Drosophila melanogaster: one gene and its partner. The protein of the gene in region 2 interacts with the protein of the main gene of each other region in a pairwise test. Each region holds a gene or a part of one and is shown on either strand. Other genes may lie near its edges.

Region 1 (10,324 bases), 7.7 Mb from region 2:
AAACAAGATAACACTCTGCCACGAATCCAGCGTAAACATCCCAATACTCCAACCAAGGCCAAGCAGTTCGAGTTTCCGCCACCTCAGATTCTTGCGCCGGAACGTCCAGTCACTCCTCTTTCGGAGAGAGCCATACGCCTCCAGTTGGCCAAGGCGCAGTTTCTTCAAAGTGCTCCAGTTACTCCCCGCCAGGGTCCCCAAACTCCAACTAAGGCAACGGAATCTGTGGTGCTCCAAAAGAGCATCAGTGCGGGCAGCATGAGGGGTGGAGCAGGGGGAGGAGCAGCTGTCCATGAGGCGGCACAGCAACAGCATTATCATGACACATCCACGGATCAGGAAAGTGTGGGCCACTCCAGTGCCTACGATAGTTTGCCCAGAGCAGTGAGCCGAAGTGCCAAGATTTCTAGTAAACTGGGATTCGCCACTTTAACATCAAAGTTACGAAGGGGCAACAAAAAGCCCAAGAATCCACCTCCTAGTCCTGGTAGCGCCTTATCCGCCCTGTGTCGGCAAACCCTAATGGCCGATGTCATAGCCATACCACAGGCTTTCGGAACGGAGAAGCCTCCACCAAGTCCCACAGGACGAAATGTCTCAAAGTCGCAGAGCACGCCGCAGGCTGCTGGACCTTCGAATATCAATTTCGAAGGGATTCCCAAGTCGCTGAGCGAACAATATGTCCGCCAGCTCAAGGAGAGCGACGTCTAGTCAGATTCCCAGTCTCCAGTCCAGAATCTAGTCATAGGAGCAATCTATAAAATCGTTGTACGAGATAAGCGCGTGCATTTTGGGGTCAACCCGAATTAATTATTTAGATGTTGGCACAAAAGATGTCAGGTTCTCAGAACTCATCAATATTTCTTTTTTTGTACGTTAATAATTAGCGACCGTGTGCAGTAAAGTTGAGATACTCAACGAGCCATTTGCGAAGCAGAATCAGATTGATCTGCGTAAAATCAAAAATCCAAATCTAAGGTGTAGTCACTAAATCCACATTTTTTGTTTACGAAACATGCAATTACCTATTTTTATATCTAACCAAATATATTTTAAATATATGTACATTTTAAAAATATATCAAACGCTTTTCATTCGGTGCAATAAATTAATATAAATTTCCGATTACCGATTTTAAGATAAGAACCTCGGTACGAAAATAATGGGTGAACTTTTAATGTTAAGTAAAACTCACCTTTAAATTGATATTGTTTGCTGATTTCACAAACGAATTTGTGGTTTAAAAGTCTCGTAAAACAAAAACTTCTTGTAAAACCATGATCTATTTTAATCACAATCTTTCAATAATTGTATTGTAATCACAACGATCAATTTATTCTTATTTGGACATTATTGTGCCGATTATCAAACTTTGCCTTATCAATGGGTGAAATTCCAAAGCTTATCTGTGATCCTCATAGTCGTCCAACTCCGGATAGTCCGTATCATCGTCATCATCGTCCACCACGTTTTCATGGGGTATTTCCGGAGGATCAGCGCCAGTGTTCCAATAGCGATCCTCTTCGGGATGCGTGAATTCGAAGTCGGGCTTATCCGGATTCACGTAGGTAATGCAAGTGGTCAGATTCTGGGCCGTTTCCAACATTTGGGGTATGCTGTTGACGAACACCACTCCACACTCCGCAGAGTGGATGGCCTCCTCCGGCAACTGGTTGTTGATTTTGCCGTAGACATCGATTCCGACAGCGATGATGTCGTGTAGCCGGCGGATCGCACTGAGAGCGTTTACTGTACCCGACAGGATTTTGCCAACGGTGGTCTGCTTGGCGGCAATCTTCTTGCAAATCTTCACAAGACTACTGACATTGCGTTTAACCTCCTTCACAGCGGCCACTGTTTCATTCTGAATGCGCATTACCAAGGCCATGGTGCGGGAGTAGCAATCAACGCCATCGTTAATGGCCTGCAGACCTATCTGGAACTCTGGGACCAGCGAGTAACTGCAATAGGCGGCCTGACTTCCGCGGCCCCAGTAGTTCCACATGTATCCCAATCCGGCAATGGCTGCGGTCACGATCTTTGGTTTGTTCAGCTTCAGCAGATTCGTCTCCAGTTGGATGGCCCTCTCCACCAAGTCGTCAATGCCGAACTGTGCCTCGTCAATAACATCCTGAATAATCTCCCTGAGATCCTCGAATTCCGCCCTCTGATTTGGTGTGAAGTCGGGACTGGGCTTTCCCATGATCTCGTCGACAGTGGGCAATTTTGTGTCATACACCACTCGAGGTTTCTCATCCAAGTAAATGGAGAACTTTTCGCGAAAGTCTTCAAATGCCCGTAGGTAGTTGCTATCCAGTTCAGGCTCCTCCGCGGGATTCTGATCACTCCCATCGCCGCTCTGGAGCCTCAGGCTGTACAGATAGTTGTACTGCGCCTGAAACTCTAGGTACAGTGGACGCAAAGCAGCCACTTCCTCGCCAGACAACTGCAAGTCCACCTGTTGCTTCTGCAGCAGAGTCTCCAGTTCCTGGTTGGCTTCACCAAAAGCGAAGAGCAGCACACAGCCCAGCAGAAGCAATGCTTTTCCAATCATTTTGCCCGGGCAACTGTTTCAGTACAACTGAGGGAGGGATTTTGACCAGCTTCATTATCGGAAGAAGTATGGCTCGTAAAACACTATCGAAGATACCACACTTGGTTTTTCTTAAGTGGCGCAGGTTGATTAGGCTTATCCGGCTTATCGCCAATATTACGCTATATATAAACCACCACGGGGCAATGTTTTTCGAGAGAAAATTTAAATTTCTATTTGGCTTTTTATGAATGGTCGAACTGATAACGATTAAAGATAACTATGCTCATAAATATTAGGTAAAAGTTGATGTAAGTAATTAATATTTTCAAGTCGACACCAGACCACAGTTAATAGTGCATTTGACTTTATTACATTCTTTCTAGTTTATCGCACACGACTCAATCTGCGTAAAGAGGTCATCGAAATCCATCTTCAGATGATGGTAGAAGAGGCAACTTGGTGTGTCCAGGTCTTCCAAGGACATCTCCAGCACAATTGCATCGCACAGCTCCAGACTGCTGATCATCCGCTGATTGATCCTCCCGATTCCAGCGACAGTGCATAATAAAACTCCGGCGTGATTGAAACCAGACTGCTTAAGCTGCCAGATTCTGCAGGTGTTTGACAACTCACTGATCTCCCGCGAAGCCTTACTCAGAAAATTAGCCTCCAGCACGATTTCCTCCTGAAAATGATCCATGATGTGGTCCAGAGAATTCCTGCAGATACTGTACTTGTCCACCAGCTCTCGATTGAAGTGTGCCACCTGGAGTTCGTACTTCTTTGAGCATGCCCGCCACTCATCGCTGTACTGGCTTCCAAAAAACATCTCCAAGCGTCCACTAACCACTTGCTGATGGTCATCCAGTGTGTCCTTGGCTTCTTGAAGATACTCCAACTTCTGATCGAGGGCCTGTTGGGTGACGTTCCAGATCCTGGCTGCACTGGAGCTTTGGCTGGCTATAAGCTGCTTTGTGGACTCATAGAGTGGTCCATTTTGTCCCCAAATTCTTTGAAAGTGGCCATGCACCTGTAAGATCTTTTCTTTAATATTATACTTTACACAAATAATGCTATTTCATACACAAAGAAGCGACTGAAGTAAAAGCAGTGACACCCGTACTGTTGTCATCTTGAAACTAAATCGAATTGATTCCCGAAAAATTGAAGATACCATACCTTTTATTTATAGATCGCCAAAGGTTGCCTTAATTAACTAAGACTAAGAATTAAATTCTTTTTTGGGAAAGAGTTTTAACGCTTTAACAAAAATTGTTATTGTTTATAAAGAAAATATTGGGATACCGAAAAATTTAACAGCGTAAGTTGCTAAAAATACCCATGTCATATGTGATCAATATGAAACTTTAGGGTATTTAAGTTCCGAACAAAACTTAAATTAAGTTCTGAATTAGACAAATGGCTCATTTGTGTCTTATAATGTTTATAAGAAAGATTCTTATCGCATGATGACTGTGTAACGACTATATGCTTCAAGTTAGTCATCAACCTCAGCTTTCTTTAGCAAACTTGAACTGTAAATATCTCCCCTTTTACAAATAAAAGTATAATTGATCCCTCCATTATTCAACGAAGGTGAGAAATTTACAAAAAGAAATTACGAAAATTTACGAAAAATACGATGACCAAATAGAATACTTTGAATAGTATACCAAGTTCATGTACTAAAACATCATCTCAGTTCATCAAGTTAATGCTCAAATTGTGTTTCGTAGTGATTGCTATGAGACACACTCTTATCGTGACACTGGATCTCTTGACATATATAAGAAGTCAAGTGTAGGGCCAGTCGCACTAGGAAATATAACAGAAAGATGATGAGTCAAACTCTGGGAGTACTTGCTCTGCTTTTGCTGACTTTGGCAGTGAGTTAATAGTAACTTTCCATTTATAGTACTTTTCAAATTCATATGCTCCTTTATTTCAGGACTGCCAAGAAGTCGGCTATGAAACAAAGATGGAGACAGAGACTACAAACTATGGACCTGTTACCATGGTTGTGGACAATCTGGCAGAGATTGCCGTAAGTGTCAGCGACGACACCTCCATTCAGTTGGAGGAGAAAATAAATCGCACTCGGCAAAATATTGCCGGTAACATTGAGGTCCTGACCGCCAATGCTATGGCCGAACTAAGTGATGTGATCTATGAGACAAACCAGTTAGTGGTGTCCAATCCCGATTGCAACCCAGCCTGGAGCCTGGATGAGCTCAATGAAAATGTGACCCATCAGCTGGGTGGGTGTACGGAAGACTTGGGAAGCCTTTTGGAAGACTTCCGTCTGGAGAGTCAACTGGCTTTGGCCAGAGTACAGGAATTCGTACAGCAGATTGCCCACTTGCCGGCCAAGTGCCAATTGCTGGGGGCTTCCCCGCTTAATCCTCTAGCTTCAGCTGGCGGAAGTGTCTGTTTCATTAACGCGATGGCGGAAATCAATCTGGGGATGGCCCAATCCATGCACAATGCATCCCTAATCCTGGTGCAGACCCACCAGACCGCCGAGGATCAAGTGGTGCAGGCTCAGCTGTGCAGTGCCATGGTGGTGCAGCACATCGGCGACTATCTGCGCGAGGAGCAGGATCAGTGCCGGCAATCATAGTGGACCGACCCTTCCCGTAAGCAATAGTCCTAAGAGAGAACCCAGGCAAAAACAGCCAATGGCAAATTTATGCACCCGCAAGATGACAGGGGCCGAGGACTCGCCACATCCTGTTCACTTATTGCTTATGCATGACATTTATTTGACAAGTTTTTGATTGATTTTACAGCTGCTGCAGTCGATCTGGTACAGCTATCAGCATATTTGCAGGCACAGTGAAGCCTTTTTAAAGTCTGGCTTGGAATTGAAATAAAATCAATTTCAAATCACTATGTTCTTATAAAACGCTAAGAGGCGTGTGTTAAACCAAGGAATTTACACATTTTAAAATGATCAATAAATAGTGAAGTAAATTACTACTTAGTATCAAGATCTCATTTCAGTTTGATTCGACTTAGAGAGGTTGCTCTGTAATTGCATATATATACATATGTACATATGTATATTGGGCAACTTTGTGGCTAATCGCAAGTTCACTTTTCAAAGTCGCATGCATACTAATTGGCCATTGTTCGGCTAAACTGACCAATTGCCCAATGGACTTGCCCACGACACGTGGCAGCCACACGATATAAGATATAGTAGCATACGGATCCGATCCAAATGGGCGACAGCTGGCCCTAGAAAGAGATAGAGACGGAGATCGAGATCGAGATCAGCCAGTTTTTTTCCTCTTCCTCTCGCTTCCGCAGTAAGCAAAATTATTTTGACCTGCCTACCGCACACTGAGCGAATATCCGAAGCGAGTATCTGTGCATCCGTGAGATACACCAAAGCATCGCATCACACATCTCTCTCGTCGTTCACAGTGCAGCAACGAAATTTCTACGACTCTTTATTTCGGCTCTTGCCGCAATTTCACTAAGAGTCTCTGAATTTTATCTTATTTTTACTGCTTGTAACAGTTGTTGCCCTGCTGATGATCGCCTTGGTAGTGTAGCTGCACAAATTCCGCCTACTCCAACATCTGTTCAGCTCCTCCAGACATCTGACGGATTTTGATGACGTAGATCGCGCGACTCTTGTCTATTGAAAGCCGAGCTCTGAGCAAAACAATCTTTTTACATCTGGCACATCGAAAAGGCTAGTCACTGACTATTAAATTATAAGCTGAAATGGTTTTTACTATAGATTTTAAAATAAAATCATTCAGTGCGCCAACAATTTATTTATGTTGCAGGCAAAATTCTGTGTTATAGCATTAATCATCGAGAAATATAGTTTAAAAAATATTTCTATTAATGCCTAATCAACGATGGTCATTCCCATACGATCAGTGATATAGGACTTGACTGCTTCGAGTGCAACCTCTTGCACATGCCGGTTATTTAGTATTAGTCTTGCGACATCTCGAACGCGTACATTTCTAACTTCGGATATGGCCCTGATCACGTGCTGCTCCAGTTCTCGACGCTGACTCTCCGTCAAATCGTTCAAAATGACCTCACTTAGAGATTTGAAATTTCCTGGAATTAAAAGACTGATAAGAATGATAGTCACCATGTAACGCTAGACACTCTTGCCCTCCGTAAGTCCGTAGGCGGTGAGACCACCGATGGCCCCGCCCAGTGCCAGTCCCCGGGGGCCCAGCAGTAGTCCTCCGATCAGCGCAGCGCCAGCACAAATTGCAGCTCCCTTGCCGGCCTCCTTGATGGTCAACTGGATATTTTTATCGTCGGCCAGTATAGCCAGGGCATTGATTATCTCTGAGATGGCTGAATCCATATTTTCAATTTATGTATATTTCCGTTACAAAGTTTTACTTCTTTCCCGGTGACGATCTTTCTAACAACTGAGTACAATCACGTTGTTATTTCGTTATCAGTAGTGCAATAATTGTATATCCGCCACTGTGGAGGGGAGTTACTCGATACAAACCAAATCATCGAAATCAATTTTAATCTATCATTGCAATCAAGCTTCGCATATGTACATATGTAGATTGAAAGCTTTTTTTTAGGAGTACCCGATATCAGAACCCAAGTATAAAGAAATCATAATCTTATGGCAGTGCATCCAATGATTTAGCAGGCATGGAATGGAATTTTTTGAACCGCATGAATAATTACATTTCCAGTTGAAATCCCAAATTACTGGTTAAAAATACCACAAAGGCTTCCAATGCGGCACATTGCACTGTAAAATCACGCTTGAAACACTCCACAGCATTTGTAGCGACACCAACTATTTTTATAATAGCTGCCTTCACAAAGTCAACCAATTCTGCCAGGACCCTCAAGGTCAAATCCGCAATTTTCTCATACATCCAGTAGATAACTCCTACATTTCAAATACAATTGATATGATAGGTAGGTAATCGTTTAGTGTTTTATACTCGCCTTCTGTAAGTTGACCGTTTATGTTTATGTTTATGTTTATATGCCGTTGGCGGAACTTACCTTCCGAAGAACCTTCAAGGTGTTCCCTTTCCCTTTTCCTCCTCGCCGCGTTCAGGAGAGTCTCCAAAATCATTTCTAAGTCAAGATTCACCATTTTAACAAGTTTTCTGCCTGACGAATTATGGGTTCTAACGCGAACCAAACTTGTTATCAGACTTTTTTACCAGCCAATGGTATCAATAGAAATAAACGTTTGGCCAAACTTTAAAAATACCATATTTTAATACATGTACTAATAAACAAAATAATATGTATGTAACAATAGTTATCGATATGCGATGATCGATAATCTTCGCAAAGGGTAGCAAAGGTAAGAAAATAGGACAAGCTTAAAGTAGAAGTAGAACAAAGCGAGTTGAAGGTTGTGTAATTAAAAAAAGATCTTAAAGCCGAAAGTTGTCGTGTCCGGAGTAAGGAAAAGTTGTGTAGTCGTCGTATGCCCGGAGATCAAGAAGTGTTGGCACGAGTCATCTTTTTATTAAATACCTAATATAATAAGCAAACTATACTTCTATAAAATATTAATAAGATAAACAATTGTGCTAAACAATAAACATCCTACATATATTTTTAAAGAAATCTATGCATTTTTAATATTTTAAATAAAATTTTTCCTATTATTATTGTGAACACATTCCTTTTTGTTTGAGTTTTAGCACAATTCAGAGGAGTTCGTTTATATTTGGCGATTGCTTGTCAGGATTTAAGCATTAATTTGAATTTAATAGTCTTTACCTTGAGCCATATTGGCACAAGTGATATTGTCATGCACACATGTCGGAAGATTCGCATATCAAAGGGCCGTCTTCTTTCAGAATTCGGCTGACGTGCCTAGATGGCGTTTAAAAATCGCTGCCGGATTGTCTTTAATTTTGATTGATGCACCTTTAATTGCGTGGGCTTCCAAGTGCTACTGCTGAACTTTTGGGTAACTGTAACTGAATCAAGAGCGGATCGCTCTTAGCTGCTGGGAGCTAGCTAGCTAGCAGTTGTCTACTATGTACATATAAATATGGGATGCTTGAGGTTGAAGGATCGAGGTTTCCGCCTGCGACCAAATGGCGTGTCTTGCTCACACAATGCCGAATAATCGTTATTGTTGCTGGCTGTCTGCAGGACGAGCCGCGTGGCGTGCGAGTGAAAGCCAGCGAAAAGGACCCACTGCGGGGCATTGGCCAAAGCGAGATAGAGCCAAGGCGCAACATATGCCATCTTTGGCCGGTCTTTTCCTCCTCCTCCCCTCATTCCTCCAGCAGGACCTCTCGTCCTGTCCCTTTCTAGCCCGCTCCTTGGAACAGAACAAACGGACGACGCACGCCGTCATCTGGTGCCACTTTTGACTTTGGAAATTGGGTTGCCCACGCTCCTTCGCCCCAACACTTAGAAAAAATATTCCATGCTGTTTGAGAGTAAAAACTTTCTTATATCGACCAAATAATAGCATTTTGTAGTATACAGAACGTTGAAATAATTCCAGATCTCTGATAAACAGATTGCAATATTTTAACTACAACTAATGAGTTTTGAGTTTTCAGGAAGCTTAACGAGTTTGTCGAATTCCAAAACAATTGCCCACGTCTATAGAATTTTGACAGTTCTTTCAAAAGGGTTCCAATATAATAATCTAAATATATTATATTATATATTCTATATATTCATAGTATCTATTCTAAGAACAATCTAATTTCTTCCAGTGCGTGGTCCGTTTCCCCGCTCAGTTGAAATTATACTTTTTGTAGCTGTTTCGTTTACGGTTGGGTCTTTCTTGCCTCTGACCTGGCAGACAATTTCAAGGAAGCAGGAGCACTCGCCCAACAGTTACTACTGACTTCCGATCGGAGCACGAGTGCAGGAAGAACAGGGAAGGCAGCCGAGCCCGAAACCCGAACAGCGACAGCAGGATAAGCGGCTTTAAGGACTCGGCAAGCGGACAAGCGGATCCCCCCAAGAAAAAAAAAGGAACTGGAAAGGGTTGCACCTGGGGGAACGCGACGAGAGTAACGGGCAATCCGTATTGGGTATTGGGTTGGGGGGAAGGTGTGAGGCCGACAAGGATGCACAGACATTCGGGGCTCGGCTTACCGAATCCGAATTGAGCCCCGAAATCGCGCGTATGCCAGCAAATGAACACGTGTGCCGCAGGATCACTTTAAAACATCGATGCGTCAGCTGGCCAACTCCGAAAGTTGCCCGCCACGGTAATTGGTTTCTCTATGAGAATGCTAGAAGAATCTTATGATCTTTAGGGTTCACAGAAGATCACAAACTATCTCAGTACATTCTTTATATCGAGAAACAAAAAATATGGATTACATTTCTCGAATAAGTGTTTTAGAATACAATAAAAGTAGTTCGAATCATTACAAACTTTATACTCTCCTTATAATTTTTTAATGATCGAAAATAAAAACAAATTGTCCAAATAAATCTTGAATAATAAATCGCTTCGATGGGCAAATTATCCGCCAAGTCGAGCGTATAAAATTCCCAAATCGTTTACAAAACGACCATAAACAAAACAAAAGCAAATCAAGGGCAACGATAACAAAAAAGTTCATTTACATTAAACCCCAATATCGAAGATACAGAAATAAATAATGAACTTGGCTAAGGAGACAAATGTATAATTTTACAGATCGCGCAATTCAATTAGACAAATCGCCGCAAAGCCACTGGCACACAAAAAAAATTAAGCAATAAAATTAGTTGTGGTTCACGCAAATTGAAAGCATCAAAAGGAGTCGCAAGGACATGCCGCTGCTCGCCAGG
Region 2 (10,510 bases):
TAACAGAACAAGTAAAGTAAAAATTGTAGTATAAAAGAATTTTTGTGAAATTCCGAAACGCAAACAAACTGTACGGCAAACAACAATCCACCAAAGACAAGATACAAGATACAAGACACTCGTGTTTGTCTTAATCGTTAATTGCTCTGGCCACGTCCCTATCCCAGTCCCGATTTCAGTTCGAGTTCCAGTTCCAGTCCTCTGTGGTTGGCACACACATCCACAGAGTGCGCCAAACTCTAGGAAAAACCGCACCTACTCCATATAAACATAGAGCCACAAGCACTGCGGATGAGCTGTATCCGCGCGTGTCTCTTAACTGGGTCTTCAATGAGTACCTGTTGCTAGTGGCTTGGTTACCTGTCTGTCCGTCCAACTTCGTAATATAATGTGTGTTTGACAGGATATGCCCAGTCCCAGTCTCAGTCCCAGTTCTATTACCATTTCCAGTCCCTATTCCGATCCCAAACACCCAGACACCGTGCCCCGTCATCGCTCCGACTTGCATTGTTCTCCGCTGCGGAACTTTAATTACCCAACCTTACTTTCACTGTCCGCATAAAAATTAATGAGTTTAGGACTTGTCCGTTTAGCGTCCGCGTCTTCCATTCATAAATTTTGTTTCGGGGCTGGGAAATTCCCGTGTCCTGATTCATTTGCCATTCCTTTTTATGAATGGATATGCTCTATTTTTGGGATTGCTTCGGATCGGTTTTTAATGGGGGAATTCCATTTATCTGATTGGTAGTTTTCCGTATACCGCATTTGTTTATGCTAATTGCAAGCTATCCTACGGCTGTATAACTTGGACCCCGATAAAGTTCTTTAGTGTTTCCAAGGGCCTAAAAAAGGTTCATATGGATTGAATTATCTGGAAATAGTCATGTAGTTTAATACATACACTATTATTACATTCTGAACACAATTTTTTAAAAAATATTTATTAAGACTTTTTTCATTAATTTATAATAGAAGATATTTCAATATAATGCTTTCAAATAGTCTCCGCATTAGAGGCCCACCAACAGCGATTGTCACTTAAGCGCACCATTAAAAAATCATCAGAGAAGCGATTCGAAATGTTTTTCAAGTGGACGCCCTAATTATAAAGCGCCAGCTCTAGGTACACACGTGGCTAACGACGAAAAGTAAAAACATATTTTCGAAAATTATATAACCCAACAATGGAAGGGACAATATTTTCCCTGACGTTGTCAGCGAAAACAAATTCATAATTCTGTTTATTTGCTTGGTCCGAGAGCGAAAGGATCTTGAAGGACATCGAAGGGATCGAGGGAACCAAGTGAGCACGAGATGCGGCAATAACAATAACAACCGCATCCCCTGGGTGTCCTGTCTGTTGTCCGCTGTCCCCTTCCCCTTGCCACGATCGATTTGTATCGTGTCGGCGCGTGTTGCCATTTTGTCCTGTTTACCGTGCCGCAGGCCACTAACTATCCGCTTACCTGGACGGGTCACCCGAAATGGGAATCCTACCTGAACGGGCAAATGGCAGCCGTCTGCGGCTTGGCCGGCCGATTAGCGCTGATCATTGCGGCTTAATCGTGGCTTCTTGACAGTTTCCAATACTAACTCTATTTAAATAGGTTCAATTGACGTTTTTTGTTTGTCCGGCTGTGGGAAAAAACTTCTCTCAAATGTGCAGAAAATATGTTCGGCCAGTCCAGGAAAGTCAGTCGGGGATTGTTCCAAGCAAAGCCGCTTGACCATATTACCTAATGATGTGTTTACTTATTTAATTCAACGTCACATGCGCCAGTGTTGATTCTACAAATTGGATAAGTATGCCATGTAAATTGTATTTGCATAAAATTGGAAAATTACTAAGATTGTTAACACTGACATGTGGGCAACAGAAAAATCTTTTTTTTCATATGTTTGTATACCAATGGACACTATCATTGAAAAAACAGTGTTTTTTTAGATATTACTAAAAACTAGTTTAATAATTCCTTAAAATGTTAATTTTAATCCTTGACTTTAAGAAATCTTTGAACTTAATTTGATCAAATGTGACAAAATCGTTAGTTTTCCCATTCTTGTATCTCCGCACAGCATCGGAAGATAACCCGAAACAATTGAGTCGCTTATTGTTGCATTAAAAGAGTGTTAAAGACATGTTCTCAATGGCCATTAAATGGGTTTGATAAGAGCACAACTTTGTGGCAGGCCGCAGGCCACTTGAATCGGATCTGGCCGGTTTATTGTAGGAGTTTTATTTGAATGCCTACCACATAACGATGCAGATAATTGGCGCTTAAGGAGTCAAACGACTTGTATCCAAAAGATAGGCGAACACTCAGCACTCAACAAAGAGCTCTTCATGAAATGGATCCGTGGCGTATTGGATTACCAGCGCAATATTTATGGCCGCGATGTACACGAAAATATTAAAAATGCATAAATACATCGGCACCGAGACTATGAACGATCATCGTACATCGTCCTGATATGTGAGACACTCGCCACGCTTGACACTTGTTTGAGGGGAGTGGAGCGGGGAACCTGCCCCGGGTAACCCATTTTCGGCCACCATAAATATGTCAAAATAGTTTGAAGCCAAACTTAGTGGCATTAAACCCTGGATTTCGTGAGTACGTGTGCGTTTCACTTTGGTCTCGTGGGATATACAAATAAGAATGTTCTGTTTGAATTGGACCTCAGTGGATTTACTAATGTCCCAATGTATCGTACAAAACTTATTAAACGACTTTTCGCCATAAACAATGGCTATTCGATAGGTAACCTCCCCCCCTCCGCCAACAAAAATCAGAGAGCTGTGCCACGGCCCATTGACAATCGGAGATCGAGTGTGAAAAAGGGCACCTCCTAGCCCGCAGACCCACAAGATTATCCTTTCCCAAGGACTTGTAATAAATCACATCATTAGCATAGCATCTCCTAGTGATTTATCGTTTCGGGAGATCGCTCTGGAGCAAGATCCTCATGTTTGTTGACACTGCACATGCTCCTCCGAATCCCCCACACACTCATCTGAATTGTCCGATCTGCGGATCTTTTCGAAGGGCGGGGCACTCAGCCCTGACTCACATTTAAATGCGTAGTTCTTCACCATAGTCTAGTGGCTTTAAGGCCGCCTACCGTTATTTGCATGTGTACTCAATGCATTTCGTTTATAGAAGCCCGACTTATCAGACCTAACTAAGCATAACATTGCCAGCTTGGGGTCACAGGCAAAAGAGGGTCAAATCGGATGGGGAGCTCGGCTAGGTAAATACTGAATTAAAGTGTGAGAAAGTCACAAGTGTGTAATAGCTTCTTTATACAAGATCCAGATAGTAAACACGTTTAGTTGACTTTAAACTACAGCTGATCTTTTCTAACTCGCTTTAAAGGAGACTACATGGAATGCATATTTATTTTATTAGTGATCTATGTTGAAACGAACATGTTTAAACATTTTCTGGTTTCAAATGCAATTAATTGGCTAATTTAGGTTCTAGACATGCGCGAATCGCATGCTATATTGAGTTGATCCCCCATGTGACGTCAGTGCCAGTGTTTCAAAGTTGGCATTTAATAATTTCAAGGTTAAAGTTCCATTATGGATCCCAGGCACATGCAGCCAATGAGCTCGAATTGAACATTTCGAAATACTTGTTTTTGCTTTCGTAGTAAAATTGAAATTCGTCCGATTCCGATCGAGAGTGTTGGGCCAACCGAAGGCGAACAGAAAAACATGTGAATAAATTATTTGAAAAATATATAAATATGAATAAATGAGGCGATCGCGGAGAGGCGTCAACCTTAGTCCCCATGTGTCTAGGGAAAGGTCCGGTCTAGTTCCCCACTTCAGCACGACTTCGCAGCGATGCCAAGAACACCTTATCAACATTTTCGATTTTTCGTATATTTAATAACGTACACTTATGTGATTTTAATACCGACAAAGGTTAAGCGATTTATGTCTATGTACGAGTGCGCATGTCGCCTGTATTCGGCGTTCTATGCAGCATTCAAAATCGAATTCGATTCTGGTTCTGGTTTTGGTTTTGGAAGCGAAGCACTTGTGTGTGTCGCCCACTATGTACACCAATTGATCAACGATCGTTAAAATGTTCCCAAAATGTCCAAACAGATCGTTGGTGCCGCCTATTCAAATGACGATAAAAATGCCATAAAAATACCGCCCGAGCCTCCCAAGATCCCACTCGAAAATCGTTTTACGACTCGTCCTGGTTCAAATGTAACAATTTTTTAATCAGCCATTGGAACGGAGCTCAAGTGCATTGTTTTTATGTATTTTGGCGCGACGTCTCGGGAATTTGCATGGGCCAAATGCAGACGGACTCCTGGGGAAAGTCTTTCCCCATCATTTTTCTCACGTTCACTTGTCGCGCCACGAGATTTGTCCTGAAATTCTACACGCGTCTCGGTTGGATTTTAATGTTCTCGTCCTCGCGATAGGCATGAATGTGTCTGGATCTGGATCCTGGAGCCCCAGTCCTATGCGCATGGTAATTTGAAAATTTTGAGAAATTTCATATTGGGTCTCTCAGAAGGCGTTCTGATTTATGCGTAAATTTCACGATTGAATTGAAGAACTAACCGTGAAGAGTATTGAGACGAAAGTAATGGGCTAAAGTGAAGGGAGTTTTTTTTAATTCTGGTATGCTATTATATTTGAAGTTTAATGAAATTATTGGGTTTGCCCAAAACGCAATCAGAACATTTAGCCTTACATATTGAGTACCTTTTATAAATGTATCTTATTTTAATTACTGTTTTAACGTTTTTGATTTTCTTAAAACTATATAAACATATATTTTCTTTGTTTATTTTTATATTCATGTTCATATTCATATACAAAATTTTTAATCTATGCTGTTAATAATTCGAATCCGTACAAATTAGACCGTTGGTATTATGCATATATGTTAATGATTCTGTTTTTGAAAATGTTTACTATATTTTTAATTAAACTTCATTGTTGCTTTATACTTCTACATTTCAAATATTCATTTAAATAGAAATTTTCAGTAAGAAATGTTACATTTTTCAAATTCCTTTAAACTTAGCTTACATTTTAAACGTTTCTTAATATACATGGATTGTTTTTTCATTTAATTTCCAGATTTTGTGTGTACTTTTTTGCGGTCGCTGGTAGTCGACAGTCAACCAACCACAATAACAGCGACCACAACAACACCAATCGAGCAACAGTAGAGGCCGCCCCAGCTACAACAACAACACGTTCCGGCATGGCCTCTACCTCGGCCTGCCCCCACCCACCCCTTCTTCAACTTTCCGCGCCTGTTGTTGCTGCTGATGTAGTGAGAGGCGGAGCAACGCAGCACAAAGCGGAGGCAGTAAGTGCGATAAGGCAGGCATTAGGCGCAAGCACAAGCGAATAGTAAGCGAAGGAAGAGAGGAGCCAAAGAGAGGGATCCACAAAAAGAGAAAGAGTGAGTAGGCGAGTGCGGGAGCGTGGAGCTCGCATCGAATATTTCGAAATATTTAAAGCTGTACACGAGACGAAAATATTCATGTTTTCGAAATGAATTTGATCCTTGTTGAAATCTTGAAAATCTAAAAACTATGTCATAAATTTAGTCATATGTGTATTTAATGTATATTTAATGTGTATATATAATTTATGAAATAAAAGATCTAATTTCCTATTCCGTTTATTAGTCATATTATATTTTTATATTTTATTATATATTTCAATGTATTATTATTATATATTTTATCTTAAGTTTGCTTTATCCAAAGAAATAAATGAATAGATTTACTACATGTTTACTACATTTACTATATGTATTTATTTATTTCTTTAGATAAACCAAACTTAACTTAATAAATAGTGATCTTAGGACAAGGATAGAAATTAAGATGATCGTCATTTTTATTTCTGTGCACCAACATGCGATTACGATTACGAGTGGCGCTCGTGTAACGGCATGTAGAGCAAAGTGCTAAGCAAACGCAACTGTAATCAATGGACAGAGATGGCGAGAGGGAGAGAGGATGCTCGATGAGATTTGTTCTCGATTTGGTTTTCTAAAAAAAACATTTTTAACGAGCTTTATTTTTTCGTGTTGCTTTGCTGTTCCGTATTTCGAAGTTCGAACCGCAAGCCGCTCAAATCAAATCAGTTTCTGTGAAAATCGCGCCGGATACGGACACGTACGTGGATTGCGGCGGAGAATCCGGATAATCGTGTGGAGCGCCGGAATCATGACGAAAACGACAAAGCCCAAGGAGAAGGCAGCGGCGGGAGGGGCGGTTATAGGGTCGGGATCGGGATTGGGTTCGGTGACCAAGGCGGGCGGCGGTAGTCTGCTTTCGAATGCGGCGGACAGTAAGATCCGCACGGCCAAGTCCAACAACAACAAGCGGCAGGCAGGACGAGCGGCGACAGCATTAGCAGCTACAACAACAGCATCAGCCTTAGCGGCAACAACAACAGCGGGAGCAACAGGATCAAATGCAGCAGCGAATGAGACGGAAATAGCGATCGAAACGGAGAACGGAGAAGCAGCGACGCCGACTGCGGCAGCAACGGCCGCCGCAGCGAATTTATCGTCACTTGAGTCCGCTCGCTCGCAGGCTCTCACTTCAGTTGTCAGCGAAACAGCAAGGCAAGCGGTTACCACAGCAAACGCGTCGGCAACATCAACATCAACAGTTACAGCAGCAACAGAAATAGCAACCGCAACAGCAAGCGACACAGCAGCAACATCTGAAGCAGCGATCGATGACGATCCAAGTGCGATAAATACTAACAATAATAATAATAATAGTAAAGCGCAGAACGACGCGAGTGAAAGTGTTAAAACAAAAGTGATAAGCTACCATCAGTCTGAGGATCAACAGCAACAGCAGCAGCAACAAGCCCAGATCTACGAGCAACAGCAACAGTTTCTCAGCCAGCAATTAATAAGCCACCATCAGCAGGAACAGCATCAGCAGGCGCAGCAGCAACAGCATCAGCAGGTGGTGCAGGAGCAACACCAGGCCAGTTGGCTGGCCTATGACCTGACCAGCGGATCAGCGGCAGCAGCAGCGGCGGCAGCGGCAGCAGCATCGCATCCCCACCTCTTCGGGCAGTTCTCCTATCCGCCCAGCCATCATACGCCTACCCAGCTCTACGAGCACTACCCCAGCACGGATCCCATAATGCGGAACAACTTTGCGTTCTACAGCGTCTACACCGGAGGCGGTGGCGGAGTGGGCGTGGGCATGACTAGCCACGAGCATTTGGCAGCGGCGGCGGCAGCGGCAGCAGCAGTGGCCCAGGGCACCACACCCAACATAGACGAGGTCATCCAGGACACGCTGAAGGACGAGTGCTTCGAGGATGGCCACAGCACCGATTACCATGTGCTGACCTCCGTGTCCGATATGCATACGCTAAAGGACTCCAGTCCCTATGCCCTCACCCACGAGCAACTCCACCAGCAGCAGCACCATCACCAGCAGCAACTGCATCACCATCAGCAGCAGCAGCAACAACTTTACCACCAGCAACAGCAGCAGCAGCAGCAGCAACAACATCATCACCACCACAACAACTCCACCAGTTCGGCGGGCGGGGACTCCCCGTCGTCCTCGCACGCACTGTCCACCCTGCAGAGCTTCACCCAGCTGACCAGCGCCACCCAGCGTGATAGCCTCTCGCCGGAGAATGACGCCTACTTTGCGGCCGCCCAGCTCGGCAGCAGCTTGCAGAACAGGTGAGTCTTGCCGCGGAGCACTGTAATGAGCTCACTATCACGAAGCGGGCGAGCGCACGTGCCTTTCGACCGCTTGGCGACACCGTTAAAAGTCATGATCGGAGCTCCGATCAGCGATCAGCGATCACCTAACAGAGAACCGCGCCGGCTGATTCATATTTCTCCCGCCTTGGCGCGATTTGCTCGGGCGGAGTGACGAACCGAACAGAAGCGCCCATTGTGGGTATTGGTTCCAAAGCTCGGACTTCGGTCTCCTCTTTTCCACCGTCTCTCGCAATCCCAAATCCATACCCAAATACAGTCGGTTATGGTTATGGCGTTATGGCATTCCCAGGTGGTTTACTCAATATGCGGAATGCGAAAATCTGTTCCACTTTCATCTAGCCACCAAGTTAGTTCTGCTCCAAGAATGTGTTTCCAGCGGGACAACAAAAACATAAACAAAACACAGTTGTGAAGCCTCCGCAGATGTCTCATATGAGGAGCATTCCACGCATGACGCCCTGCGTGGGAGCAAAGTCAGTGGGGCAGGACTTTTGGTTTAGAAAAGTAGCTTAACGTATAGAAAATTTTTCGACAAAATATTCGTCCTGCCGATCTTAGGAAATTTTATTTAATATTCAAGAATGTTACTTTTACCTTCAGAGATGCTACTTAAAGTTTATTTATATAAAGTTCAGGGATTGATTATTATTTTAACATACTCCATTTAACATAAATCTTGTCATCTTTCCGATTATTTAGGAATATTGTTCGGCTTCTATTAGGAAAACTAACCTTGTCCACGATCAAAGTAAACAATGTGAGACAACAAATAAAGAGGCTTTGCACTTGGCATTTTATAGCGTCGCCTCTGTGAAATCATCTGCAAACTCGAACTCAGCAGAATATACACAAATTGCCGCTCGAATTTCGTAAACAAGAATATGCAATGTCTTAATTATTGACGCATGGCTTGTCTGACTCATGAGTTTTCCCCTTTGGATCCTAGTCCGGGCAGCACCGACTTCCCCACCAGATGCAGGAAATCTAAATGGTTCACTTAGTTTCTTTGTTAGTTTTTCCGACCAGCATGCGTGAGCTAGTGTTGCACGTGTCCAGGTTGCTGCCACATTTGGCCTAAAACCAGCACGTGCCACAGACTGTGGCAAGCTAGCTCCTAAAAGCCAAACAAAAAAGGGGGCGCGACCCGCATTTGATTGAACAGTCGAAACTCGCGGCGACTCTTCAGAGCCAAAACCAAAAAAAAAAAAAACAGTAAAGGCAAATTGCCATTGTAGCGCATTTTTCTAGCTTGTTTTGGGTGCTCGGGTTGCAAGCTCTATTGCTTTCGGTGAGAGGATACCTTTCGAGTGTGTGACTGTTTGGGAGCCGGGGTAACCCAAAGCCATCCCGTGACATAGAAACCCCCGAACGAAACCCAAACTGGAGCCCACAGAAACAGAAACAGCCTCAAATGCTTCGTAAGTGTCTATTTTTTTTTTGTGTTCAGGGCTGCCTCTGCTGACTCAGCAACCCCCAAGTTGCAGTGCACCATGAAGGGTTAAGGAGAGTGGCAAGCGGAGCAGCAGCGTTACGTTAGGTACGGCGGGAAATTATAAATACATCGGTGGGAGGCAGCGGACCCAACGCACCCGCACATTGCCGATCGCGTTTTACTCGACTATTTTCTGGTAATTCGCATCTATACTTTTAGCTTTTTTCGTTTGTTTTCCCTATGTTATTATTTAAATTGAAAACGTGTTTTGCATATGCATATGGAAACAGGCATGAATGCACATTCAGTTGAAGTATATATGAAGTCATGTGAGGAACAGACCAAAATGTTAGATTTTTAGAAGTCAAACATGTTAGAAACGCAATTGGGTGAAATTAGAGTTATGGAAAAGTATCTTTCGTATGACGGAAATATACACTTGTACATATATGTGGTAACATAACGTCATCTGGTGCCGGATGGTGATGGTGACGCTGATGTGGCCAGCACTTCGTATGTGACTTTTTGGCCAGTTTCGCTTTTGTGGCAGTGAGAAACCAGAAGAAGATATCACGCTGCTGGCCAGCTCACATGCCATTTTTGCCATGCATACACACTCATAAGTATGTGAAAAACAAGAAGTCGACGCAAAATACTCACCTGCGACAAACAACAGAAGTGAACCGCGCAGCGGCGATAAAGTTATATCGTTGTCGTGCACTTTTTCTTGTCACTCAGACTTCCTATATATGCAGCTATATATTATAGCTTGGCTGTAGCTGTGGGGCATCTCGGGCTGGAAATACGGTTACCGCTGTTATCAGAGAGCGTGCGCATCTAGCTGCAAGACTTGGTCGTATAAATTCTGGCAACAAAGAGTCAATTATTTGCAAGCCGTTTGTTTGATAATTGAATACATTCATACGCAGATATGCGATTTTTTTCGGTTAACTTTATTCTTTAGTCACTTGATCACATTGTGTGTGTGTGTGTGTGTGTGTGAGTAGTGACTTGGATTACTTTGGGCCAACACTCACGGCAACAACAATAGCAATCACAGTTGCAGCAGCAGCAGCAGCCGCAGCAGCAGCGACAACTGCAACTGCAACTGCATTGGCATAAAACTAAACCCGACTCAAGTCATTATGCAAACGCGCGTGCCCCGATTCGGTTGTGCTTTCTTCTCGGTCGCGGTCTCCGTCTCCATCTCCATCTCCACCTCCATCTCGTCATCCAGAGAACTCGGCCCGAAATAAAACTGAAAACTAAAACACAAATAAATCAAAACGAAAATGAAAACGCCAATGCTGAG

The links.
Region 1: the proteins of srp (region 2) and CG11672 interact in a two-hybrid assay, tested with the Drosophila melanogaster proteins (one large-scale study listed by BioGRID).

The regions. Positions count from the first base shown.
Region 1 is NT_033777.3:8,284,596-8,294,919, reverse strand, and holds CG11672 (uncharacterized protein), read left to right. Parts: upstream 1-4,341; 5' UTR 4,342-4,371; coding exon 4,372-4,422; intron 4,423-4,484; coding exon 4,485-5,156; 3' UTR 5,157-5,525; downstream 5,526-10,324. Other genes in the region: CG9626 (uncharacterized protein), read left to right, coding at 1-711; CG31463 (uncharacterized protein), read right to left, coding at 1,403-2,554; CG31464 (uncharacterized protein), read right to left, coding at 2,916-3,566, 3,621-3,668; nazo, read right to left, coding at 6,402-6,622, 6,680-6,881.
Region 2 is NT_033777.3:15,988,004-15,998,513, forward strand, and holds the start of srp (serpent), read left to right. Parts: upstream 1-6,136; 5' UTR 6,137-6,222; coding exon 6,223-7,721; intron 7,722-10,510. UniProt on the Drosophila melanogaster protein: May function as a transcriptional activator protein and may play a key role in the organogenesis of the fat body. Binds a sequence element (5'-[TA]GATAA-3') found in the larval promoters of all known alcohol dehydrogenase (ADH) genes.